Linked DNA regions of Danio rerio. The protein of the gene in region 1 interacts with the protein of each later gene in a pairwise test. Links are inferred from orthologs where the notes say so. Each region holds a gene or a part of one and is shown in the gene's direction. Other genes may lie near its edges. The genes, in order: agtrap, ptpn9a, rmdn2, syt16, tbrg4, pbx3b and txn2.

What was found.
Region 2: the proteins of agtrap (region 1) and ptpn9a interact in binary tests that used the Homo sapiens proteins (3 or more experiments, as listed by UniProt). The two-hybrid records come from large-scale screens. The link is inferred for Danio rerio from reciprocal best matches to the Homo sapiens genes AGTRAP and PTPN9.
Region 3: the proteins of agtrap (region 1) and rmdn2 interact in binary tests that used the Homo sapiens proteins (3 or more experiments, as listed by UniProt). The two-hybrid records come from large-scale screens. The link is inferred for Danio rerio from reciprocal best matches to the Homo sapiens genes AGTRAP and RMDN2.
Region 4: the proteins of agtrap (region 1) and syt16 interact in binary tests that used the Homo sapiens proteins (3 or more experiments, as listed by UniProt). The link is inferred for Danio rerio from reciprocal best matches to the Homo sapiens genes AGTRAP and SYT16.
Region 5: the proteins of agtrap (region 1) and tbrg4 interact in binary tests that used the Homo sapiens proteins (3 or more experiments, as listed by UniProt). The two-hybrid records come from large-scale screens. The link is inferred for Danio rerio from reciprocal best matches to the Homo sapiens genes AGTRAP and TBRG4.
Region 6: the proteins of agtrap (region 1) and pbx3b interact in a two-hybrid assay, tested with the Homo sapiens proteins (4 studies listed by BioGRID). The two-hybrid records come from large-scale screens. The link is inferred for Danio rerio from reciprocal best matches to the Homo sapiens genes AGTRAP and PBX3.
Region 7: the proteins of agtrap (region 1) and txn2 interact in binary tests that used the Homo sapiens proteins (3 or more experiments, as listed by UniProt). The two-hybrid records come from large-scale screens. The link is inferred for Danio rerio from reciprocal best matches to the Homo sapiens genes AGTRAP and TXN2.

The regions. Positions count from the first base shown.
Region 1 is NC_133186.1:18,172,259-18,175,758, forward strand, and holds part of agtrap (type-1 angiotensin II receptor-associated protein), read left to right. Parts: intron 1-353; coding exon 354-465; intron 466-1,843; coding exon 1,844-2,057; intron 2,058-3,500. UniProt on the Homo sapiens protein: Appears to be a negative regulator of type-1 angiotensin II receptor-mediated signaling by regulating receptor internalization as well as mechanism of receptor desensitization such as phosphorylation.
Region 2 is NC_133200.1:7,141,151-7,144,650, reverse strand, and holds part of ptpn9a (tyrosine-protein phosphatase non-receptor type 9), read left to right. Parts: intron 1-1,171; coding exon 1,172-1,296; intron 1,297-1,430; coding exon 1,431-1,536; intron 1,537-3,500. UniProt on the Homo sapiens protein: Protein-tyrosine phosphatase that could participate in the transfer of hydrophobic ligands or in functions of the Golgi apparatus.
Region 3 is NC_133188.1:45,624,558-45,628,602, reverse strand, and holds the start of rmdn2 (regulator of microtubule dynamics protein 2), read left to right. Parts: upstream 1-1,245; 5' UTR 1,246-1,305; intron 1,306-4,045.
Region 4 is NC_133188.1:41,011,165-41,014,664, reverse strand, and holds part of syt16 (synaptotagmin-16), read left to right. Parts: intron 1-1,310; coding exon 1,311-1,624; 3' UTR 1,625-3,500. UniProt on the Homo sapiens protein: May be involved in the trafficking and exocytosis of secretory vesicles in non-neuronal tissues. Is Ca(2+)-independent.
Region 5 is NC_133191.1:30,798,411-30,802,665, reverse strand, and holds the start of tbrg4 (FAST kinase domain-containing protein 4), read left to right. Parts: upstream 1-1,455; 5' UTR 1,456-1,526; intron 1,527-3,292; 5' UTR 3,293-3,365; coding exon 3,366-3,770; intron 3,771-4,255. UniProt on the Homo sapiens protein: Plays a role in processing of mitochondrial RNA precursors and in stabilization of a subset of mature mitochondrial RNA species, such as MT-CO1, MT-CO2, MT-CYB, MT-CO3, MT-ND3, MT-ND5 and MT-ATP8/6. May play a role in cell cycle progression.
Region 6 is NC_133183.1:36,175,571-36,179,798, reverse strand, and holds the start of pbx3b (pre-B-cell leukemia transcription factor 3b), read left to right. Parts: upstream 1-1,428; 5' UTR 1,429-1,932; coding exon 1,933-2,129; exon of another isoform or gene 2,130-2,133; intron 2,134-2,744; coding exon 2,745-2,818; intron 2,819-2,855; exon of another isoform or gene 2,856-4,228. UniProt on the Homo sapiens protein: Transcriptional activator that binds the sequence 5'-ATCAATCAA-3'.
Region 7 is NC_133178.1:3,509,176-3,513,289, reverse strand, and holds the start of txn2 (thioredoxin, mitochondrial), read left to right. Parts: upstream 1-1,314; 5' UTR 1,315-1,346; intron 1,347-4,114.

The DNA.
Region 1 (3,500 bases):
GGCACACAGAAACAGTTCGGTTTTGTTTTTATTTTAGCCATTATACAGTATATTAAACAAACTACATCCCGCAGTTCCTATAAATTTTGGGTTTTGTTTTAGAAACTGCATTCTTAATGTCACCTCAATTGGTCTGAGGTCAGGTAATTTTGCATAGTTGTGCATTTCTGGAACTTTAATCTTGACAACAGGAAAATGTATAAATAAGTTTGTTTGTTTTAAACAGAAGCCATTTATTGGTGTACTTTTTAAACACAATATTTTTTTACAAAAAAATAAACCAAATTGAGTTAAAGGAGAGTGCTATGTTAGTACAATGTTTTTTTTAACAGTTTGAATATGTGCTTACACAGGGCATGCTTACTTTCCTGGCTCCCAGCTTCTTATGTGTTGGGGAACTTCAGTGTTCTTGCAGTGGGAGTGTGGGCCATAGCACAGAGAGACTCCATAGATGCTGTTTTATTGGTAGGTGGGTTTTTTCATGCATGAAGGCTTTTTAGGCAATTGATTTGTTCTTTATTAACGACCGATGAAAAATCCATAACTAGACTTTTGACTATTCACTCACCGGCCACTTTATTAGGTACACCTTTCCAACTTCATGTTAGCACAAATTTCTAATCAGCCAATCACATGGCAGCAACTCAATGCATTTAGGCATGTAGACATGGTCAAGACGATTTCCTGCAGTTCAAACTGAGCATCAGAATGGGGAAGAAAGATGATTTAAGTGACTTTGAATGTGGCATAGTTGTTGGTGCCAGACGGGCTGGTCTGAGTATTTCAGAAACGGCTGATCTACTGGGATTTTCATGCTCAACTGTTTGTAAGGTTTACAGAGAATGCTCTTAAAAAGAGAACATATCCAGTGAGTGGCAGTTCTGTGGGTGCAAATCCCTTGTTGATGCAAGAGGTCAGAGAAGAATTACCAGGTTAGTTTGAGCTAATAGAAAGACAACAGTAACTCAAATAACCACTCGTTACAAACAAGGTATGCAAGAGAATTTCTGAATGCACAATACGTTGAATCTTGAGGCGGATGGGCTGCAGCAGCAATAGAACACACCAGGTGCCACTTCTGTCAGCTAAGAACAGAAAACTGAGGCTACAATTCGCACAAGCTCACAAAAATTTAACAATAGAAGATTGGAAAAACGTTGTCTGGTCTGACGAGCCTCAGTTTCCGCTGTAACATTCGGTTGGTAAGGTCAGAATTTGGTGTCAACAACATGAAAGCATGAATTCATTCTGCCTTGTATCAATGGTTTAAGCTGGTGGTAGTGGTGTAATGGTGTGGGGGATGTTTCCTTGCCAAACTTTGGGCCCGTTAGTACCAATTGAGCGTGGTGTCAACGCCACAACTTACCTGAGTATCATTGCTAATCATGTCTATCCCTTTATGACCACAGGGTACCCATTTTGTACCTATCTTCTAATGGCTACTTCCAGCAGGATAACGCACCATGTCATAAATCGTGAATCATCTCAGACTGGTTGCTTGAACATGACAATGAATTCATTATATTCAAATGGGGTTCAACCCAGTACTAGTAATGTGTACCTAATAAAGTGGCCCGTGAGTATATTTCCTCAATGCATTTCTTTAATGCATGGTGCTTAGCCCTTTTTAGCTAAGCACAATGCTCTAAGGAAAAGAACAGCTGGAATAGCATGTATACTGTAGCAAGAAATTCCAGGAAACATTCAGTGTAAGGTTAAAAAGTTGATGACTACTGTTACTGTATATATCTTCAAGTCGAGGTTAAATGTTTTAGTGTGTGTGCATGTGTGTGTGTAATATATTTGCTATACTAATGTTTGGTCTTTGCTCTCTTCCATGAAGTTCTTGATCGGACTGGCAGTGACAATCTTGACTGATATTGTTCATTTTGGGATCTACTATGCAGCAGCTGAACTCCTATACGAGAGATCCACACGGGACCTGTTCCGCTTTAGTGGAGGCATGGCCATCCTGAGCCTCTTGCTCAAACCTGTCTCCTGCTTCTTTGTCTACCAAATGTACCGTGAGCGAGGGGGTGAATACAATGTCAATTTTGGTGAGTAACCGAAGGCCTGAGGAAGAAAGAATAATTGGTGACTGATTCATTTTGGTCCATAGTGGTTTGTGATGCATGGAAAAGTATTTCAGTAGGGATAAAATACCACCATTGTTTGCTCAGGGTCCAAAACATTATTGAGCCTATTTCAATTATATAGTTCTGAGCAGTACTTCACTGAATATGGAAAGAAAAATAAGTATTTAAAAAAATAGGAGCGGGTAATTGAATTTTAGAACCGGTCACAAGACACATGCCTGACAGAGTGGCCCCCAGAAATAACAGCCTGACTATAATTTTAAGAACAGCATTGGGTCTAAAGGAATTAGGCCTGTTTTCACTGACTCTTTACTGTTAGATCTTTATGATCCTTGATCATAGTTGGTTTGATTGTGGTTTTTTAATAGTATAGGCCTATATAAAAAATAAAATAAAGTTTTTGTTTTTTGAGAAATCATCCAATCTTCATAGTTCAAAAGTTTAGCTGTGTGGATATCATAGTAGACCAGTGTTTTGGAAAATAGCCAAAAGGCACATATAAAAAGTTTTGTGGAAAACACAGTGATGGAGATTATAGAACAGCAATAGAGAAAGCATGGAGAAAGATAACAACTAACATTTGAGTTTGCAGCATATCTGAAAGCAGCAGGAAGTATGCAGGCTCTTGCTTTGAATGACCAGCACAGATGCGTACAAAGAACTTTAATAGTATCTCACACTGCTATGATTAAATATATTGGTCTTGCTGCAGAAGAAAATTTCCCAAACCGTGACACTTCCTCATCCACATTTCACCAACTTTTTTATATATGTAGGTTTCAGTTTTCTTCAATTTAATGACAAACATTCTTGAAAATATTTATTTACTGACCCAAATAAAATGAAACATGATTTCATCACTAAATTGAACTTTGGACCAGTTCTCGCCTGTTCACACCTCATGTTCCTCAGCAAACGAAAGTCTACCATTTTGATTATTTCTTCTTCAGCCACTGCAGAGTAGGTTTCAGTCAAATTTCTCTTACACTTTTTCTTTTAATTGCTAATGTTGCTTTTTCCAATCTGTAGTTACATTTTCAAAACTCTAAACAGAACTAGCATAACATTGACCTGTTGTCATCATACCATTAACCCCAAACTATTTATTGTTTGCACACAACGAGTACGTTTACATGGACACCAATAATCTGATTTTAATTTTTTAAGTCTACCATGTTGTAAGGGACCGAGCCAGCACATATAGTAAGGGGCATACAAAAAGAAGATTGCCAAAACAATTATTTTTTATAAAGTCAAAAAAAAAGTTTCAAATTAAAAAACAAATGAATTAAATAATTAAATCAATTGAAAATTCAATAAACTAAACAAAGAAAACAAACTGAGTTCAAACCAAACAAATCATGTCTAAACCAAATACAGAACTCCATGAAATGACAAGACAGA
Region 2 (3,500 bases), on another chromosome or scaffold:
TAGATAGATAGATAGATAGATAGATAGATAGATAGATAGATAGATAGATAGATAGATAGATAGATAGATAGATAGATAGATAGATAGATAGATAGATAGATAGATAGATAGATAGATAGATAGATGGATGGATGGATAGATATGCATTTACTAGCCAATTTACTTCATTTAAATTCATATAAATGAAATTAAATATTTGAGTTCTGCCAGCTAAAGTGAAGGCGGTGGTTTTATCCAATATGTTCATCGATCCTCCTCATCTTCCCGTCTCCTCTTCTATCCGTCTGTATTTATAACCCAGAGAGAGACGCACATCTCATGAGTCATCAGAGTATTGCTGTTCGTTATTGGCGTAAATATTTAATAGATGTAAAGCGTGTGCTCACACATACGGAAATGGGGCAGCTGAGAGCAAATAAAGCAGATTTAGTGTCTTCCTGGATGGCAGATGTAAATATAATGTTTCTGAGCTGATGGTTCAGTGACTCATTGATGTTCAGTGAAGACTTTTTCTGCCCCTCTGTGGACACCTCTAGAACTGCACCTTACTCGTACTTGATCAACAAACTTATCCGTGAAGTTTTTATTTAATATTAATTATAATATATTATTCATAATATATATATATATATATATATATATATATATATATATATATATATATATATATATATATATATATATATATATATATATATATATATATATATATATATATATATAATATCCATTTATGTATGCATATTCACATTGTTTTAGAATTTATTTTAATGTATTTACTATTTATATATAAAAATATATCTTGCATTATTATAATTATTATTACATTTATTTTATTTCAGATTTGCAGAATTTGTTGGATTAAGAAATATACAACTACTGCATTTATTTGTGAGATCATTCAAAGACCATTTATTTTTATTCATTTGTTTATGCATGCATAAACAATTTTATCATAATGTTTTTGTAATTATATTTTTGAATTTTATTGAATATTTAAATTTTTAAATTTAATTTTAATTTATAATTTGCAGAATGTTGCATTTAGAATGTAAATGTAGCTTTATTCAGTAAAGAATATGCATTATTCTAATATTCCAAAGAGCTGAGTGACTTTACGAATATGAATGGCTCCTCGTTACTGACATATTGCGATGTTTTCTGATATCAGGGTGTCCGGGACCCGTCAGGAGCCTCCATCGCCCTCTATACGGCTAAACTGCACCATCCCAGCAAAACCGGAAACCATGTGGTTCTTCAGGCCCTTTTTTACCTGCTGGACCGAGCTGTGGAAAGGTAAAGCATTTAAATTTCAGTTCAATTCAGTTAAATACCTCGAAAATGTCCCATAAAATTGATCAGACGTGACTGTTAAGAAGTTTAGAGTTTTGTGATTAGATTTCTGGTCAAAATAAATGTTGTTTCTTTAGCTTTGAGACTCAGAGAAATGGACTGGTCTTCATCTATGACATGGCTGGATCCAACTACACTAACTTTGAGCTGGACCTCAGCAAAAAGATCCTTAATTTGCTCAAGGTGAGTTTCTATGTGAAGAATTCTGGGGCATTATTTGATTAATGGAGATTTTACTGGGTGTGTTTTTTTGTGCTGGTTTAGGCCTGTCGTTGGTCAAAAACAAACACTGAAACCACCAGTAGGTGGCGACCGTGTCTTGTCTGAGGGATTGATTTGTTGACTCGTTCATTCAAAAGAATTGTTTTAAATGGTTGATTCATTTTGAAACAAAACAAGTGGCTTATGAACAGATAATTGAATCATCAGTTCTCTTGATTTTAATAATAACAGATTTATATATGGAACGAAACACTGCACAAATGTCCTGTTTTTAGAATTTATTACATTTATTTAGTCTAAAATGCTTTCTAAACAGCTGGTTTCCATTGCATGAGCAGGGTCAGACAGAAATTTATTATTTAAGGTTTATAATTCAAATCCAATTAGATCCACTTGGCAAACGAAGCAAGTTTGTCATATAATATATATCGGTGTTTCTCAACTGGTGGGTCGCGACCCACTGTGTGTGGTCAAAAAAAAAAAAAAAGTTTAATTTTTAATTTATTTTGCTTATACCGGACTTTTATTTTGAAATGCGAGCGCGACAACCCTACCGTTTGACATGTGAAATTTCATTTAATTATAGCAATAAATATGCACAATGTAAAGTATGGATTTACATATATTGACAAAAAAAGACTTTAAGCCTTAGTGTGCCATATGTAGTGAGGTGCTCCCACAAGAGAGCATGAAACCTTCTAAACTAAAACGACATTTAGAAACCAGACAACAATATGTTTAATTAACAGTTCAGTTTAGTTCATGGTAACTGAACCTTTCCTTACCCTAACCACTGTTTACAATATTTGTCGTTTTTACTCTGTAACATTTCTATAATTTGATACATTTTGTTATGACAGCAATAAAATACTGTTTATTTGTAAGTATTGGTAATTTTCTTATGATTTATCTGTCACTACTTGTGTATGTCAACAAATAAATGCAAATTAATTATAAATCCTAAATTTATATTATAGTTCCTAAAAATTTGGGTCACGGCTTGATGACCATGTAAAAATGTGGGTCCCATGGCCAAGCCAGTTGAGAACCCCTGATACATATAATATTCTCATAATATGTTTACTAAAACACAGAAAATAGTACTTTACAAACTGTAGTGAAAATAAAGAATATAAACATTTGCATGTTTGTCAATATTACTAAAATTCATAGACAAACTGAATGAACAACTTTAGTCCCATTAAATAAATAAACAAGGCTAAACGATGGGCTGAAAAATCTGCGGAAATATGCATATTTTTATGCACGTAGATTCTGTGTGGACCTACGGATTAGAAACGAGTGATTGAAACGGCAAGTTTCAAAAACAAAATCCTTAATTTACAACAACCAAACAACGACTCCGCTTGAGGTGGTCTTGGACTTGTGCAACAGAGAGTTTAATGTGATATGTAAACACATTTGACGAAAAAACTGATGTTTTAAACTTTACACCCATGTGAATCCATTATGCTTGCCTTGTTTACTGCTGGTTGCTAGGTTACCAATACTACAGTCAGCCACTCTAAAACCAGATATATATCCTCTTAATTCGCATTTTAGATTCGTTTTTTATTTTAAAGATTAATTTTAAAACCGGCTAATGCCTTGTTTCTTGAAATTATCGCATGCTAATATTCAGGAAAACGACACTCTTGTTAGTGTGATATCACTCATCTTGTCATATTTAGTGAATATATAAGCTTTTTTTTTCTTGCTTTCTTGAATTATAGTCTAAAAGGCTAATAGGCTTCATCGTACAGTCATTGCTCTAAAGACATGTTTTTGTTTGTTTGTTTGCTTTTGCTAAGTGAGTGACGCACTCCAAAACGATAAGTATTGCACACTCCTATTACGAAGTGTCTTGAAGATGCTCCAGTGATCTTGTTGTGTTTCAGAATAAATCAGAGGAGTTTCTGCTTTTG
Region 3 (4,045 bases), on another chromosome or scaffold:
TTGGAAAAATATCTAGTTAAATATTATTTAGTCATCATGGCAAAGATCAAATAAATCAGTTATTAAAAATGAGTTATTAAAACTATTGTGTTTAGATAATCTTCTTACCATTAAACAGAAATTGGGGAAAAAATAAACAAGCGATCTAATAATTCAGGGGGGCTATTCTGACTTCAACTGTATATATATAGTAAATGAGTGTGCAAAGATGTTAAAAGCCAATCAGAGCAGCAGAAACCGCACAGATATCACAGTTCAAGGTTGATCAGATACTTGTGTTTATAGACTAGAGAGAAACACAGCAAAACGCTGAGCTCCACAGCAGTGAAGGCCACCATTCTGCTTCAGTACTGTAAGTTTTACAAACTTTAAACAAAGCTTTAATGGTTAGGCAATATTTTTAATTCTTGCTTTTATGAAAATGCATTAAGGTCTATGCTTAAGATTTTTTTATGCAAATATTTTGTTCTAATTATTTAAATTCATGACAAGTAAAATGATTATAATTCGACAGTTCCTGCATGTGTTTTGGTGTTCATTTGCTAATGTTGTTGTAAAGTGGTGTGTATGTGAACGGTGCAAATGTAGAGCAAAATTTGACTCTGTTAATGAATGATTTTGATGAACTTTGAGTCTGTGCTTCTCCTGTTATTAGCAGGCCATTATTATTGCCCTTTGATCTGCAATTTTCTCTAGTTAACATGTTATGTGTAACATATTCATAACAGCGTAGCAATGTTTCACAATGATGGTCCCTTTAGAAATGTGATTTTGTAGAAAAACAATGCTTGGAATTACTGTATAGACCATTTCAGTGTGTTCATGTCATTGGCCCATGGACATGCCATAACTGAAACAAGAGGCAACTTAATGTTAAACTTAATGTTAAAACAGCTGTCATAACATTATTTAACAATATGTGGCTCTTTTTGGCTTCCCAGAAGCTATAGAAATAAAAAATGTAAAACAGGAAATATGCTGGGACTATTGTTTTTGTTTACATCCATCAAAAGGCTCTAAATGGAGAATCAAAAAAGACAGAAGCATTAACTTACTAACATACCAAGGCATGTAAAACTGAATAAAACAAAAGCTGCTTTTTGAGAGTGAACATTTGAAATACCACTCTTTTAATTTTCGTCTATCTATCAAACGTCGTTCATTGTTATTCCAAGTTATTTTTAAACCTAAGTGTTTACGTAGTGTTTTTTTATTATTTAGTCGGAACCTTCAGTTTTGGGCTTTGGAGCGACACGGACTGTTTTTGCTGACGCACCGCTGCGCTGGGGAGGACGTTTTAAACAGGTAAACTCTGCTGCTTTTCATGATTAAATTGCTGTTTTGTAATGTATGTTTCGTGTTTTTGCTGATGTGGGCCGCTACAATGTTGTTAGAAGGCTATTTTCTCCGTGACGTCTACATAGGCAGAGCGTTATTGTGAATATTAAGACCTTGGCTGCTGATTAACATCTAATACCACTTACGATCCGTGCTGTTTAAAATGCAGATTTATTCATTTTTCTCAATTTTAAAACTCGTTTTTCACGGCGAATAGAGATCCTAATCCACAATAATTATGGCTTTCATCATTACTGCTCATGTTTATTGTTCAAACGCCTGGGGAAATTTTCTTATGTAACTTATTTCTTATTTGTGTAAAATTACGAGTTCTTGTTGATATACAACGCTTTGCACACCGTATACGCTGGAGTTTATGGACGTGTTTCCGTGAAAGGATGAATTAGACTTGAGTTCAGACACTTCAAAGAGGATTAATTAGCTTAGGCTAATTCGCTTTCTGGTCACTGACTGGCAGCTAACTAATAGAGGTAAAGTTGGTTTTATGATCGCACATTCAGTCTATCTCATTAATAATAAAATCTCAGAATAGTATAAATGGGAAATTCTAAATAGCAAAATCATATTAGCAGCCAACAACCATCAAAGTACAACATTGATCACAGTCAGTTAAATAGTGCCAGTGTTGTTTTGAAGTCATACTTACATTTGATTTCAGTCTGAATATTCAAAATACCATGGTAAACAATATATGGAGCTGTCACCGAACAAATGTGCAAATATAAAACCAACTTTACCTCAGTCTAGCAGCTTAAATAAGACAATTCCATGCAATTGTCAACCTTGCCATGAAAAACATTTCACCAAAATTTCTAAATCGTTTCTAATTTTTTGGTTAGCAATTATTTTAAAGTACAAAAATGTCTCTGTCAATGTTTCCAACTATTATATTTGATTTACCAAAAGTGACACAAGTGGCAATTTTACATCCGTAACAACACCTTTTTTCTCATAAATGCAAAAATATATATTAAAACTTTTATCCTTTTGATTATCACTATTTCTTTTGGGTTTTGCAGTTTAATTCACAGAATTTCTACAAAGTATGGTGTGTACTGTAAACTCAAAGACTTTTTTGGTCACATCCATAAAGCATCTTTATTTTCCTCATTTATATAGAAAACATATACATAACATCTATATCCATGTATTGTATACAATACATAAGCTTTAAATAAATAACAATATATTTAAATACATCAACAAAAATAAAACAAAAAAACAAAAATGGTATGTGTGATAGCAATGGAAAGACACAAGGACTAAACTACTGAAATGTATTTAACACTATAAAAGGCTTATTTTGGTGATGGTAGCTTAAAGTCGCCTCTCAAATGGAGAATGAAGACACATGAATTGCTCAGGTGTGAGTTTTTCCACAGACTTTAACAGAGTGTAAAATTCTTTATGGTTCTGTGGGTCTCGTCTATCAAATCTGATCTATATTTAGCATTTTCAATTGTATTCAATCAAGTGATTGGCTGGGCCATTCTACAGCTTGATTTTTTTTTCTCTGAAAGCATTTGAGAGTTTCCTCGGCTGTGTTTTGGATCATTGTCTTCTTCATCCTGCTAATGTGGATGTTGGACTGAAGCAGTGAATATTCATTTACAATGATGAAGGACAGTTGCTGAAGAACTACTGAGATATTTTAGTTGCTCTTTGGGGTTTCACTGCCCTTTTACACCTCCCTGTCTTCATGTGTTCAATGCTTTTTTCCCTGTGTCATTTCATTTTATTACAAAACCTAATATGTAAACTACTTAGATTTGTTTTCTTTTCAAATATGGATTTTTTTGGTTATCAACATTTGGTTACAGCACCTTTGGCAATATGACTTCTGAGAAAAATAGTGACATGTTCAATACTTATGTCCCCCACTTTAAACAAATAATATGTGAAATAAATAAGAATTTGAATGATAAAACAGTATAAAACTCAATTCATTTAACATGAAATGTATTCATATAAAATAAGTATGAATATTACTAAAGGGTACCAACATTTTTTTTTATATATTTATTCCTTTATTTAGGTTGTTTGACTGCTAAATTATAGCCAGAGAAGTTTTTGATCATTTCAAATCCCGGTAACAAGATCTATCACAATATAGTATCATTTCTGTAAATTAAATGAATTAATTGTTTATTGAGACCTGTAAAGGACACTTTCTTTTAGCATTTTTAAAGTTTATACCCAAAAACTCATTCATGTGTGATCATATTTTTCACTTTGTTTAGAACTTCATGGCAAATGTTTAATTAAAAACACAGAAATGTAATAAAATATAAAACTTTTCAAAAACTAAAGATGTCACAAAAAAAAAGCAAATTACTTTTAAGATTACTTTCTCACGATTACAAGATAACTTTCTCTTTCTCACGATGCGGTTATTAATGTTTTTAATCAGCATCCTCGTAGTAGCCTGAAATTATGAAAAAAAATACATAAAAAAATAATATATATATATATATATATATATATATATATATATATATATATATATATATATATATATATATATATATATATATATATATATATATATATATATATATATATATACAGTTGAAGTCAGAATTATTAGCGCCCCTGTTTATTTTTTTCACCAATTTCTGTTTAATGGAGGGAAGATTGTTTCATCACATTTCTAAGCATAATAGTTTAAAAAACTTATTTCTAATAA
Region 4 (3,500 bases), on another chromosome or scaffold:
GTTGTTCTTTCTTACGGGTATTAATCTTAGTCTGTCAGTCACTTCACTCAATGAAGTTGCAGGGTGAATGGAGTTACGTGGCATTTAATCGATCACTGAGTCTTAAATCTCTTCTCAGTCTATGCGTCACCATTAGAGAAAACCACATAGTATTACAAAATTTATTTTTAAATATATAAATTACATACTTTATTATTATTACTAGGGTTTACAGCAGCCATTACTTTAGTATTCAGATTCAGATTTATTAAAGGTCCTTTGATAAATAGAAAGAAAAAGTACATAATTATTTAAAATTTTAAAAAATATATATATATTTTTACTGTATTGTTTATTTAATTTAATGAATCACTTCTGAAAAAAAATTCTTTTAAAAATAAACAAATTATTCTCTCACTACAAAAACATTGTAATCTATATTCGTTGTGCCTGAAAATTCTCAGGTGTCAAAATTTTACATAGCAGATGTAGAACGACATAATGTTAACAGGAGCACTCTGACCAATAAGATGGCAGCTGCACTCATGTATGACTAAAATAAACACATTTTGGTTCACTTTGAAATCTTGAGTCAAACCAAGAAGCAAATGTAACATTAAAAGAAAGTAAGTTCGTCTTAGAGAAAATCAAATGGCCTGGAAAATCATTGAGTGAGCTTCACACAGGTGAGTGGGCTTGACAAACCACCTGTAGTAGACACTCCTTTTCTCTCCATATGTGCCAAACATCTTCTTTTAAACACTAATATGTCTTGAAAAACATTGTGCAATTCTAAGTGTGCTTCACTCGGGTGAGTGGGGTTGACAAACCACCTGTAGGACACACTTTTTTCCATCTCCATCTGCCTAGACACCTTAAAAAAGGCAAATACTTCTTGGAAAACATTGTGCAATTCTGAGTGTGCTCCACACAGGTGAGTGGGCTTGACAAACCACATGTAGTAGACACTAATTTCCTCTCCATATGCCCCAGACACCTTATAAACACCAACTATTTCTTGAAAAACATTGTGCAATAATGAGTGTGCTCCACACAAGTAAGTGGGCTTGATAAACCACCTGTAGTAGACACTGTTTTCACAATATTTCTGAATAAAATGCCAACTTTACTACATCCAATCAACTTGCAGTAGAAAAAAACAAGCCACGCCCACTGTTGCCTCATTTAATATTCAGCTTCTCTAGGAATTGCATCACAATACGAAAAAAAAGTCACAGCTTCCAGTTCATGCAGACTTTGATATACGCATCTGCTAAATGAATAAATGTAAATGTCTGAAACGCCTTAATTGACCTGACTCTCTCTTTCAGATACATTTGGTAAGCTCACTCTGTTGAACTCAATGGGACAGGAGATTTCCCGCTGTAAGACGTCGATCCGTCGCAGCCAGCCCAATCCTGTCTTCAAGGAGACGTTCGTCTTCCAGGTGGCGCTTTTCCAACTGTCTGACGTCACGTTAATGGTCTCCATTTACAATCGGCGGAACATGAAGCGTAAGGAGATGATAGGCTGGGTGGCTCTGGGCCAGAACAGCAGCGGTGAAGAGGAGCTTCTTCACTGGCAGGACATGAAGGAGAGCGGAAACCAACAGGTCTGCCGCTGGCACACGCTGCTGGATGCTTAGAGAGAAATACAATCACTCTTACCTCACTGCATTCAGCTGGATATTCCTTTGGGAGGGAGAAGACGGCCAAGGCCAAAAATACCCAGATAAACCAGAGTGAGCAAGCAACTTTTTACAGCATCAAACAAAGATAAGGCATGTAATTGTGAAAGCACATACAAACACCCACGTGACACTGTCTGAGAGCACTTAATACAGCCTCTTATCAATGATCTCATATCGTGACATACTCTTTAAAACTTCAGCAGCAGCCAATCAAAATGCATTACTGCTCCAGCCACGGTAATTGTCGCCTAGCGAGTTCATGAATGGAGAAATGTCTTTCTTCAGATGATGTTAAGCCTCAAGTTTTAAGACTCACAGCCACACCAAGGCCATGTTTAGTGGAAAATGTGCTCTTTCTTTCATTCATTCTACTGATGACACGAAAGCTGTTACTTTTTATTACATTTCTATTACATTTTACATCCGAATATGCTGCGATTTGTAGTCAAGGACAGTGTTATAATAGAAGTTAGGTTTGGTATATATCGGTATTAAAAAGGGTGCACAATTGATCACCATTCATATCATATTATTAGACTGTACAAAAAAATTGTCTTCCATGATAGCAAAAAAAAAGATGTTGTGTCTCAGTTGCAAGTTTCAATGACACGATTATTACTTCTCATAATATCAAGCTCACAATTTCCTACACTTTTTTGAAATTTGGGACCTCATGAGTTTATATTTGCAAACATTTAGAAAGGAGAATTATGAGAAATATTCCTTTACAAAAATCAGAATTGTGAGAAATATTCCTCAGAAAAAGTCAGAATTATGAGAAATATTTCTCAGAAAAAGTCGGAATTGTAAGAAATATTCCTCCGAAAAAGTCAGAATTGTGAGAAATATTCCTCAAAAAGTCAGAATTGTAAGAAATATTCCTCAGAAAAAGTCAGAATTGTAAAAAATATTCCTCCGAAAAAGTCAGAATTGTGAGAAATATTTCTCAGAAAAAGTCAGAATTGTAAAAAATATTCCTCCGAAAAAGTCAGAATTGTGAGAAATATTCCTCAAAATGTCAGAATTGTAAGAAATATTCCTCAGAAAAAGTCAGAATTGTGAGAAATATTTCTCAGAAAAAGTCAGAATTGTGACAAATATTTCTCAGAAAAAGTCAGAATTGTAAGAAATATTCCTCCGAAAAAGTCAGAATTGTGAGAAATATTCCTTAAAATGTCAGAATTGTAAGAAATAATCCTCAGAAAAAGTCAGAATTATGAGAAATATTTCTCAGAAAAAGTTGGAATTGTAAGAAATATTCCTCCGAAAAAGTCAGAATTGTGAGAAATATTCCTCAAAATGTCAAAATTGTAAGAAATATTCCTCAGAAAAAGTCAGAATTGTGAGAAATATTCCTCAAAAAGTCAGAATTGTAAAAAATATTCCTCCGAAAAAGTCAGAATTGTGAGAAATATTTCTCAAAAAGTCAGAATTGTAAGAAATATTCCTCAGAAAAAGTCAGAATTGTGAAAAATATTTCTCAGAAAAAGTCAGAATTGTGAAAAATATTTCTCAGAAAAAGTCAGAATTGTAAGAAATATTCCTCCGAAAAAGTCAGAATTGTGAGAAATATTCCTTAAAATGTCAGAATTGTAAGAAATATTCCTCAGAAAAAGTCAGAATTGTGAAAAATATTTCTCAGAAAAAGTCAGAATTGTGAGAAATATTTCTCAGAAAAAGTCAGAAGTGTGAGCTTTTGTGAGCTTTTTTTTTAAATGTAAAAGCGTGTTCGGTCTGATCGGGCCCCTAAGTCATTCACTAGCTGAATCTTCTTTTAATCAGCTTCAGATATCTAAACCATTTGAACCATTTGAACCAATTTGAATGGACT
Region 5 (4,255 bases), on another chromosome or scaffold:
CACTACACCACTCTCACTGCTATCTCTTGCGCTCTGTAGTTATGTTGTCTCTGTTAATCAAACGGTTATGGGCGTGATTCGCTTAACCAGCTTATTCCAACAAGGTGCACTATTTGCGCTTAGCCTAAATAGACACTTCAAAATCAGCATTTTCCCCCCCTGCAGGGGCCCCAAGTGCACACGGGCCCCTGGGCCTGTGCCCATAATGCCCATTGGTTAATCCGGCCCTGATGCCTGCAAACAAGTGATAATTTTCCGGAAATTGCACGTCCTCAAACATCCCTCTTCACACCTCCACACTGCATCCCTCCTCGCTCTTTCTTCAGACACTCTGTCAAACAACCCATGCCAAACATGCGTTATAATCAATCATTGGCTTAGTGTGAACTCTTGAAAAGATAGATATGGGAGAGGGAAAACGCAAGTTACATTAACTGCAGAGTAAAAAAAAAGACTAACAAAGCAAAAAAGGTAAGTAAACTAGAATTGTATAAAAGTGTATGACATTTATTAAATTAAGAGCATTACAGAAAAGCTATCATAGAAATCAAATCATAGACAAATCATAGTCATTAGACAAAAGTTTTTCATACCAAAAATCGGACACATTTTTTGTTGTTACACATACGGAAAGATTTGAGCAGGGACTCAACTTCAGTCAGAAAATGTCAAAAAGTAGGAATTGAAGCCATGCATTTTTGTTTAGTTATAAAAAAAACATCCAAACAAAAAGAAAAGGTTCAAGATATATTCTTTAGATTTAAGTGCAAATTTTTAGTAATAACAAATCTTTTCTTTAAAACTAAAAGACTGTGCAAAGGTAAGAGTGTTTAAATAATGATACAAGTAAAAGTAAAGTTTAACGGCAGGTTGATTTGTACCTAAAAGACTTCATGTGACATGCAAGACCCATTTTTGAAAGAATTGCAGTGACATCACATTGACTGTTCTTACAAATATATATATATATATATATATATATATATATATATATTTTTTTTTTTTTTTTTTTTTTTTTTTTTTTTTCCCTTTAACTCTTTGAAGCATACATGGGACTGACTTCTGCAGTCTACAGTTACCGACTGACTTCTGACTTTCTATATCTTTGCAATGAATTAATTAATTCACTTGATATTCCAGGAATTTCTCAGATAACTTGTTTTTGACCATCACAAATCCTTATTTATTTCTTACATTTTGAATAATGAAATAATGAATTCCCTAATTACCTAATATGCAGTGTAACAAATCACAAAAAAACACTACCAGTGTGAAATGTATAATTGATATTTAACAATATGTTGTGAACATATGTTGTGTGCACTGCTTTGCTTGCCTTTATGTCCTTCGTTGAGTTGATAAAACAACTCTTCCTTCCTCTTTTTTTCCCCCCCAATGGCCACCAATCACGACGCGTTGTGTAAATCACATGTTGCCGGCTCCCTGACGCAAAACCTCCGCGACTCCTACTGATCGTTCCTCCATGTGAATGTCGTCGATCCACTTATAAAACCTTATTTGACGAGGTAAGCAAGCAGTAATTACTTTATCCTTAGCGACAGTGCAGTCCTGTGCATTTACCATGACACGTATTTATCGGATAGCTTCAGCGGTTGCTCTGTTTCTCAAATTGTATGTTGATAACGAGCACCGTTTCATAAGCTTATTGCAGCGCCTGCCCAAAACGGCAAGGTCAGAATAGACTTCTTCCCATGACAGACTGCTAGAAAACGCAGATATCTGACAGATCTTTGTAAGATGTTTGCAAGTAGTATATTTAGAAAGTGTTAAAGTTTAATACTAGTAATGATCTGTTTTAAAAATAAATCTGTTATTAATATTAATTATTATACTACTACCAATTATAGAAATATACAGAATAATAGAATTGTTTATATTACACAAACACAAAAGGCCAAGAACACTAACGTTACCAGTCAGAAGATGGGAAACATTAAGATCTGATGTTTTTGAAAGAAATCTTTATTTCACCAAGTCTCGATTTATTTGATAAAAAAAATACAACAGTAATAGAAATGATTCTTACAGTTCATGTAACTGTTTTCTGTGAATGAATTAAAATGTATTAAAAATATAATTCGGTTTGGCATTGAGGTAAAGTTGGTTTTATATTCAAACATTCAGACTTTCTCCTTGCTAATATAATTTCAGAAAAGTATATGTCAGCAAATTCTAATTAGTGAAATCATATTAGGAGCCAATGACTATCAAAGTACAACATTTTTCACATATCTACTTGTGATTGGACACAATCTACATTGTAATAGCGCTATACAAATAAAGGCGAATTTAATTTAATTTAATTTAATTTCTGAACGAATATTCAAAGTAAACAATGTAGAGAGCATGTCACATGTTGTCACTGAACAAATGTGCAAATATAAAACCAACTTTACCTCAATCAATTTGGCCTAAAATTAAGATCTTGATTAATTGAACATTTTAACTTGATTACGATTAATGAAAGAATATGACTTTTTTTTGCCCCCATAGTTCAGTTCACTGATAAGTTTTGTAAAGTAAATGTGCTCACATTTTACAAGTGAGAGATTTTTGAATGAAGGGTGCCTTACTTGATTTTAAAATAAATTAAGGAAACACTATCTAACATCTATGATTATTTATTGAACTTAAATGTTGAACAGCTGAAATTAAAACAAGTTGCCTCAAACCAACAGTTTTTTTCTTATAAATAAGTGAAAATAAATTACTTGAACTTTTCAAAACAAAACAAAACAAATCTGTGTTTTTCATATTAAACATAGAAAATAAGCAGTATATCTTAAAATATAAAAATAAAATCCCTCTACTGTAAATAATATTTTAAACAGTGCATTTCTTGCATCTTCTGTAAACAAATATATGAATGTAAATAATAATTTTGATGTAATGGAAAATATGCCATCTCAAGGAATCTCTGGTGCAGCTTCCAGTTATCATCAATATAGTGCAAGGTAACACAACAGTAACAAATAAAGCTTTTTGATTAATCACCAGCCCTACTGTGACATTGTGATTTTAATGAATGTTTTTAAATTTAAATAGTATTTTTCACAATATTGCTGTTTTTATCATTTTATTTGTTTGTTTTATTTCAAACACATACAAAAATCTTAAGATAGAGTTCCAAACTTTTGACCAGTAACATACATGTTATATAAGCATCATTATTATAACATGACTGCTGTTATTTTTCTCTTAGCTGGCCTTGTTTTTGTTCATCTGAGACTTTCTTTTAATGTACTATACATTCTTCCTGATTGATTTTTAGGTGCACAGCTCAGCTGAAGATGTGGGTGCAAATGCTTTGATTGGTGTTGAATCCAGAAAGTCTCCTTTTGAAAATGACCACCAGGCTGCTGTGCAGATGGGCACGATGGTTTCCTCGCAGCCCTCGGACTGCCACAGCCTCTGCCCGCCTGCAGACCTCCACTGTCCACCATACAGAGCCTCTGTGCTTGATGACTCTGTCTTGGATCCGACCTTCTGTTCGGCATCTCTGTCAGGGCAATGAACTGGCCAAGATAGATGAGGGAACAGTTCCATATGAACGTACAAAACTGATCAAACTTGTGGAAAAAGCATCCACCCCAGACGAAGTGCTTCAGTTGTGGGATCAGCATGGTGGAACGGGCAGTGAGGCCGCCAGGTGTCTGATACAGCTAAACCTGCGGGTCGTGGAGAAAGGAAGCAAAGGAGTCTTGCTGGATCCTCGCTGCAAGAGCATGCAGGACACTTTAAACACTCAGGTAAGCAGAAGAACTGCTTTAGATAAATTAGAGATACTGACATAAATCATAAAAAATTCATAATTATAAGAGTAAATTCAGAATAGTTTATTCCCAATACAGACAGGCCTTCTCCAAAACCTCCGGATTCACAAAACACTTTGTAAACATTAGATTTGAGTTTTTTTAAATTAATTATTTTCAGTCATTCTTAGTTACATGCTCATTGGCAATTAGCAAAATCCCTGCCAATAAATGACAACTATGTAAATTCAAGAACCCAGTGAAATATTCTGGATTCTCTCTTTCTCTCCGAATACTGTAGGTTTGGCTTCTGTATATTTCAATAATGTAGGAAAGCCTAACTTTTTTGTGTCCTCCAAAGTGTTTTTAGCCATGTAGCTTTAAAATGCCTGCTTCTCTTCTAAAAATGACTTTTGGTTGCGTGGCTTTTTGCAGCTGAGATACTTGGGTTGCTGTGTTTTTGGATTTTGGATTTTTTTGTA
Region 6 (4,228 bases), on another chromosome or scaffold:
CCCAATGCCAACATTTTATCATCGGAAGAGTTAAGAAATAAATATTTGATAGAATAATATCATTTAAAAGTAGTCTCTAATTCCCCCATGGCACTTCGTTTGAATACAGTTCTTCTACATGCGCTATTATTTACGACGGACCAAGAACAACACATACTGATGCTTTTGGTGACTGGTGTACTGAACAAAAGACGCGTGTTTTGGGCTATACCTTGAACAACAGTGGTTGGAGTGTGGATGGAATACGGTGTTTTTGTGGCTGTAGCCGGCTGCCTGTGTGTGTGAGAGAGAGAGAGGAGCGCGGCGGACGGAGGAAGAAGCGCACAAATGTTTCGCTGTGTGTTTTTGCTTCGAGCTCACCGAACAGTCTGCTGCCATAGCAACTGGCGAGGAGCGCTGCGCAGCGCCGCCTGCTTGTGCAGTAATGTCACCCTTGGCAACGTCCAATCAGAAGTTGAGATCTCTCTGTACAACCGTAGCAAAGGTATTGAGCTCCGAAGGCGGGCGTTCTCGATCAGCGCGAGTCGCTCATTGGTCACTCCGGCTGCCCGTCAAACGCCGTCTCTTAAGCGATTGGTTCGAGGCGTCTATTTCCAATATTATAAACATGTCCTCTGCTTTCCTGCCCCTGCAAGCACGGCTTGTGGAGGCGACCATACTATGGTGTAAGGAAGCGAGGGGGCCCGTGCAATTCATTATTAGTTTGAATCAGACAATATAAAACTCTGACCTTTTGTTTGTTTTATAATGTAACGGCATCTCAAATGCACGGGCGCGCTTTTAAATGAGGCACGCGTAAAGCGGAGACTTAAACGCTGCTGATTTGATGCTCTGCTCTCATCATTATCATCACCAGCAGTATCATTAGTAGCTAACTGGCATTTTGTTTTCGGGGGCTTCGGCGAGAAGTGACAAGAATCTAAGACCCCTCCTCTGCAGGGCGGAGCGTGCATTTTGATGTCGATTTTGTATCTTTTTTTCTTCTCTGACACGTCCGCACTGAGTGAATGGCATTGGCACATTGTCAATCGCTCACTACCGCTGCCATCAAACAACATAAAGCACACACAGCCCGCGCGCTCGACTCATAAATTTCCGCCAGCAGATATTTTTGCGCATCGCTTTATGGCGCGTGATTAATTTTTTTCGCTAGTTTTTCTATTTTACCTACTGAAAGTGAGAAAACTTTTTTATACGTTTTTGTATATATTTTTTTCTCTACAATCTTTATAGCTCTGGTCGCCGGTGCTGATGGTTTAATTTATTTCACTCGGGTTCTTTTATTTTCTTATGCAGTTTTTTTATTTTTGGAGGAAAAAAAAGAAATCTTTTTAAAAGACAACATTCTGCCAGTTGTCCACACTCAACCTGCGTCTTTTTAATTACACAATCATTAATTTTGATTAATTATCACTTTCCGTCAGAGGCATGGGATGTTTTGTTTGCAACTCTTTGTAATACTACGGATTTGTCCAAGTTTTCCAGAAGTGCACAAGGCGAAATTATCCTAAGAAGACAGCAAATAAGAATTCCAGACATCTGCAAAGGACCCCGGCTCTTCAAAGAGAAAAAAGACAAATTGGCATGAAGATTCGGACAGGATTGAACGGGCAACCGCTGTCACCTGAACGCTGAAGTTTACTTCAATAACAAACAAGAAAGATCATCGCTAATTTTCCTCTAATGGACATTCTTACAGGAGGATCAAAGACGATTTAAATCTTTTCCCGGGACATCAATTCCGCGATCCAGCGATTTATTGTATTTTTCTTCTCTTCTGCGTTGCTTCACGGTCAATATTTTGTGCACGATAGCGACCCGTTAAACGCCGCACATGAAATAATCAAGTTGTTTTTGCATGTGCATTATCCGAGTTTATTTCACCCATCTCAGTGACTGAGCACGAGCGCATTGATTGTGTTGCGGCGGACTATGGACGAGCAAGCCCGGATCATGCAGACTCTCGGCGGTGTCAGCCTGGCTGGTCACTCGGTACAAGGCGGCATGGCTCTGCCGCCTCCACATGGACACGACGGAACCGATGGGGATGGAAGAAAACAAGACATCGGTGACATTCTGCATCAGATCATGACCATCACCGACCAAAGCCTGGACGAGGCGCAAGCAAAGTTGGTGCATTTCTGTAATATAAACGCTTGCATTGTTTTCTTAACAAAGTATTCCATGCTTGCTCATTTGATTCTTTACAATAGCTCATGTTGCTTTCATTTACTTTTTTTTTCACACTAGCTAACTTTTAATTTTCACCCACTGGGTCACTATAGTAAACCTAAAAGGTCAAGTTTGCATCTGAAATCCATTTGACAGGTTGAAATCACGTTTCAGTGTCACAAGATCTATCCTAAATCAGAACATTAGCTGCTAAAGTTGTGCATTTTAATGTAAATGATACACAGGTGAAGTGCTCAACACATGTGAGCATCTCATTAAAAGTTTCTACATCTCACTTTTCTGTTTCTGAGCCGAAGAGGCCCTGATACTTTTACAGCCACTAGCCACATACTATAAATCTTTTACTTCTTTGTAAATTAATTTACATATTTAGCACTAATTAATTATACTCTTTGTTGTGAACTTTGTCTGTGTTTATTTCTAACAAACCAATGCAGTTTAAAGATACATTCCAACAGAAGACTTGATGCCTTATGAAGTTTTAATGCGACACAATTATGAGTTTTAAGTGACTATATATCAATCTCGTCTCTTGCTCCCAAATGGCACAGGAAACATGGGCTCAACTGTCACAGAATGAAGCCAGCCCTCTTCAGTGTGCTCTGCGAGATCAAAGAGAAAACAGGTAAGATAATGCATACCCTTACAAATGAAGCTAAATTAGACATGTCAAGAAGAAAAAAGCAACAGAACAGTGTCACTAATCCTTCAGACACCGCCATCTTTATTGGTGTTTTTTTTTTATTTGGTCGTCAGCGGAGTCCAGTTGTATCAAGCCACATCCAGCATCCACATTTCTCTGCTTCTCACTTGTGAAAATGAATAGTCATAATTGGATTTATCATTGCAAAATATACAACGATGATCCTTCCCCCCCTTCTGCGTTGCATCACAAGGCTGAACCGAGTGCCTTCTTCTGGGGCATGAATGAGAGAGAGGCACCCCGGCAGTTCCCTTGTTTACAGCGCGCTATTCTCACACCATTCATTTAATCAAGCAAGACCCACACTTGGGGAATTGCTCGACAATTATGCATCTTCGGGATATTCTGCATCTGCCACTGAGGATATGCTTTGTGCGGTGTTGGTTTAATATTAAGCTTGTTTTGTTTAACTGCACGCCCTGAGAGCGTTTGCGCGTGTTCGTGGTTCGGAGAGAGAGCGGTCCAATTCCTGCGCTCCTCTGGCTAATTATGCGACCAATTTACTGGATAATTATTGGCAGTATCGGCGGTCCTGCAGTTAATTATTGCCCCCATTTTATTCCGAAAGACGCCAGCGCTGTGAAGGTTACATCGTTCACCGACACGTGCAAAGATGCTTGGCTTTATTGTGTCATTGTTGATTTTTTTCCTTTTCTTTTGTGTGCTAAAACGCACTTGTTATGATCAGGAGGGATCGATAAGTTATTTATTATTAGTTTGATGCAACCAAAGTTGTAAAAATATTTAGATGACAAATTTTGGCTGGGAATGCCCTCATTGTTATACAAGAATTCTGGTTATCTTGTAATAAAACTAATATTAAATTTTAGACATGGTTATATTTATGTTTAGATTTTTTTCATTATTTATTAAGGAGCCTGGAAAGTGTAAATAACTGGAAGTTGCCACTTCTTTGGCACTTAACAATATTGTTATTTAATTATTAACATCTAATAATATTTTTGTACTGTGGCCTATGACCTATCTGACCACTGACCTAGATCTTGAAGTGTAAAAATAGTTTTAATATTTAAATTTCAACATTTGAATTCAGCAATGCATTGAGTGGCAACTGACTGACTCCATTCAAGGACCTTATATTAAGAATTGTATCTTGGCAGAAGTACAGGCGCACATTATTCTGCATAATGTTTACTTTCTTGTGCATTGCTCCTTCTTGTTGGATTAGAATTATTTTATTTCAGTTGATATACGCATGTCTGTATCAAACACAAAATATTTCACTCTTTCTGACACTCGAGCACCTCTGAAACAGTCTGTCGAGCGCGCACTGTAGATGAAGTCCAATGACAGATACAACATCAATTCAGC
Region 7 (4,114 bases), on another chromosome or scaffold:
CACAGTGGAATGAACCGCCAACTTATCCAGCATATGTTTTACGCAGCGGATGCCCTTACAGCTGCAACCCATCTCTGGGAAACATCCAAACACACTCATTCACATTTACACACTTCAGACATTTTAGCCTACCCAATTCACCTGTACCACATGTCTTTGGACTGTGGGTTTAGCCGCAGCACCCGGAGAAAACCCACGCGAATGCAGGGACCCAGCCGAGGCTCGAACCAGCGACCTTCTTGCTGTGAGGCGACGCAGTGGCGCAGTAGGTAAATAAAATGAGTAGGTAAATAAAATTACTTTGTCATTTTATTTAAATATTCTCTTTACAGCACTGCTGTCAGTACACTGGATGTTTTTACTTTAAATAAATCTGCTTTTTTAATTATTAAATTAAAGTCGGTGATCACTAGATTAAATCTATTTTATTTCATTAGTTTTTAGTTATTTATTTTCTTTATTCCAATAATTGCAGTGAGTTCACCAGAAGCTTTATCTATTTATTTTTATTTATTTATTTATTTATTTATTTATTTTATTATTTCCAATATTACATTTATGCAGTAGATTAATATCTCTTTTAATTAATTTATTTATAATTTTAAACTAAAATCACTCTTCACTAGAGTCAAAGTTTTGAGTCTATTGTATTTTGTATTTTTTTGTCTTTTATTTTATTGTGATTTGTTACAGATTTAATTTAATACCCGTTTCTATTTTATTATTATTATTATTATTATTATTATTATTATTATTATTATTATTATTATTATTATTATTATTATTGCATTTAAAACATCACCGTTTTTCAAGATTTTATCTACAGTCAGATTTTATTTATTTATTTATTATTTTTAATATTACAGTTATGCAGTAGATTATTATCTCTTTTAATTCATTTATTTTTAATTTTAAACTAAAATCACTCTTCACTATAGTCAAAGTTTTGAGTCTATTGTGTTTTGTATTTTTTGTTTTTTATTTTATTGTGATTTGTTACAGATTTAATTTTAATACCCGTTTCTATTTTCATATTATTATTATTATTATTATTATTATTATTATTATTATATTATTATTATTATTGCATTTAAAACATCACCGTTTTTCAAGATTTTATCTAGAGTCAGATGTTATTGATTTATTTATTTATTTATTTATTTATTTATTTATTTATTTATTTATTTATTTATTTATTTTTATTAATTTATCATTGTACAGTTCAATATCAACGTTTCACGCAGACTCTCCGCGCCGCGGCATGTCGCTGCGTCGTAGCAGCTGCTCGTCCACGTGAGCGGAAGTGCGTCACCGGTCCGTGAGACCAGAGGACTCTCGAGCTCACGGTAAGAGTTTATTTAATGTGTCGTAACTGTTGCAAACACACAAAACAACACGAAAACACAAATAATCCGCGTTAATCCATTGCAGCTCACGCGTTTATGCGCGCGCCGGATTTACAGAACACACACGTGAAACAGCAGAAGCTCAAAGTCACGTGGAGGTTAAAAACCACACGGATTTACACAACCACAGATAAAAGATGATGAACACACACATATGAGACGAGTGAACAGGTTATAGAGACTCTGAGTGTGTCAACACACTCAATAAGAGTGAACATCAGCTGCTCTCCTGTCTTATATTCGTGTGAAATGCTGTTGTTGATCCGCTAATGTACTGATCAATGAAGAATCATGAATAGGTATTGATTAGCCATCATATATAACAGGTATAACAAACACTCAACACATCTCTATCTGTCTGTCTATCTCTGTCTGTCTGTCTAATAGAGGTACAGTTGGTTTTATATATTCGCTGATTTTTTATTTATCAGTCTTTATAATGTCTACAATGTTACTTTGAATATTAGATTAGAATTAGCATGCAAGTGTGACTCTAAACAGCATTAACACTATCTAATTCACTGTGAACACTGCTGTACTCATTGGCTGCTAAAATGATTTGCCTATTAGGGCAGAGGTTCTCAAAGTGGGGGTCGGAACCCCCCGAGGGGTCGAGGGACAATGAAGGGGGGTCGCCTGGTGATTTTCAAAAATCAATTAATTTTTATTAAAGCTTAAGACTTACTGTATTTTATCAATAACCTACTGAAGAGAAAAAAAATAGTTGTTTATAGTTACTATATAGACTATATAGTTACTATAGTAGCTTATAGTTACTAGTTCTATTGGATTGCGACTTCTCGGGTAATTACATTGTACTAAAGACACAGCAATATTGTCAGATGCAGCAGATTTTGTAACACCAGGTTAAACTTTCTAGCCCATTTACAGCACTGACATACATAAAAAAAAACAAAGAATAGATTTGGGTCTATTGGTGTGTTTGTGCACGTCATTGCATACAAGGTTTCTGTATTTATAACCACCACCTTAGAGGATATTGGGGGTCACGAGTCACTCGCATTGTCATTTTGGGGGTCGCGGACTGTAAAGTTTGGGAACCCCTGTATTAGGGCTCAACAATAGGCACTGCCCGGGGCCAGCGTGAGAGATGCTCGGGACCGTGGACAGAATCGTTAGTGACCCGATCAGGACAGTGCTGCCTTGTCACTAAATTTTAATAGACGGCAACATAACCGCAACATCAAATTATGAGGCTAATGCCGAGTTCAGGCTGCATGATTCTCAAAGTAGTCGTGTCACAGATGTTTTCACACTGCATGACTATCTGGGCTAGCGTTTCGTCGCTGCTTTGTTTACACTGCAAGATGGATCGGCTACAGGGACTTTCACATTGCATGACTTTACTATAGGAAGAATCGCCGACAACTTCGTCCAAACTACGTCTCACAGCCAAAAACACGTAGTATATCTTTTGTTATTAACTACATAATGAGAAAGAAGCCTTTAATGGGGTAGAACATGTTCATATTTGCTCACCTGGGTTTAAAGGGTATTAGCCATTTCTCCTCAACGTTGCTAATAAACGAATTTCTTTCTGTATGAAACGTCAAACAGACACGGTTGCTCCTGAGTCCTGTCAAAACTCCACTAGTTTTTCCTCCATTTCGTGAGTCCAAATAAACCTAAAAAGAGCGCTTTTAACTTCTCCCCCAGCCTCCCGCTGGCCTGCAGCAGGTACACACACACACACACACACACACAAGTGAAAGCTGCTCTCTCATTGGCTGTAAGCGATCGCTGATGTTATTTTCAGTCAAAACTCAATTCACACGGCATGATTTGAATCGCCGACAGCTCCAGATATTTAGCATGCCAAATATCTCACAGGCATTGACGACTCATCGGCGATTCTCTCAGATCGCGTCTTTGATAGTTCATACTGTGTGATTGACACTCACGTGCACGAGCAGCGATTTGCCTGTGATTTCAGGCATTTGTCGGCGATTTCTCAAAACCTGTCGGCGAGCCAAAATCGGGGCTTAAATCATGCAGTCTGAACTAGGCATAAAAGAAAGCGTGTGCTTCTAATGTTGTGAAAACATTGGCATGGGTACAACACTATGAACAAAATTAAGTTATGTTTTGCTTAGTTTGCCGCCTCTTTTGAGTCAGCCACCTTTTGTTTTGCAATAAAATACCTGCACATTTTCCACACTCTATATTGTACTGCTAAATATTTTAACATTTTTCAAATATTTAAATTCAAAGATAATATTTTGTGACACATTATTTAATATATGTGGCTGAGAAATTGCAATTAACTTTTTTTTTGGTGGGCCAGTGAAAATTTTGGCAGGACTAGTAAAAATCTGAGCCACTGGTCCAATCGGGCCTGTAGGAAAAATCCTTAGCGTTGAACCCTGCCTATTTATAATTTGCCAAGAAGACTTTTCTGAAATTATATTATTAAGGAGAAAGTCTGAATATCCGAATATAAAACCAACTTCACCTATATGTCTATATAGAGGTAAAGTTGGTGTTATATTCGGTTGTTACGTCCTTTTAGATGCTAATATTAAATTAGGAGTAGATGACATAACATACATTAGTTTAATGTGTGTGACAAGCGGATGGAGAAAGAAATAAACTGAAAACCAAATAATCACTGCAATTATTTATTGCCCATACATCCAATGAAACCAGTGAAAATATATTATACAGTGAAAGAAAAATATTTACAATGA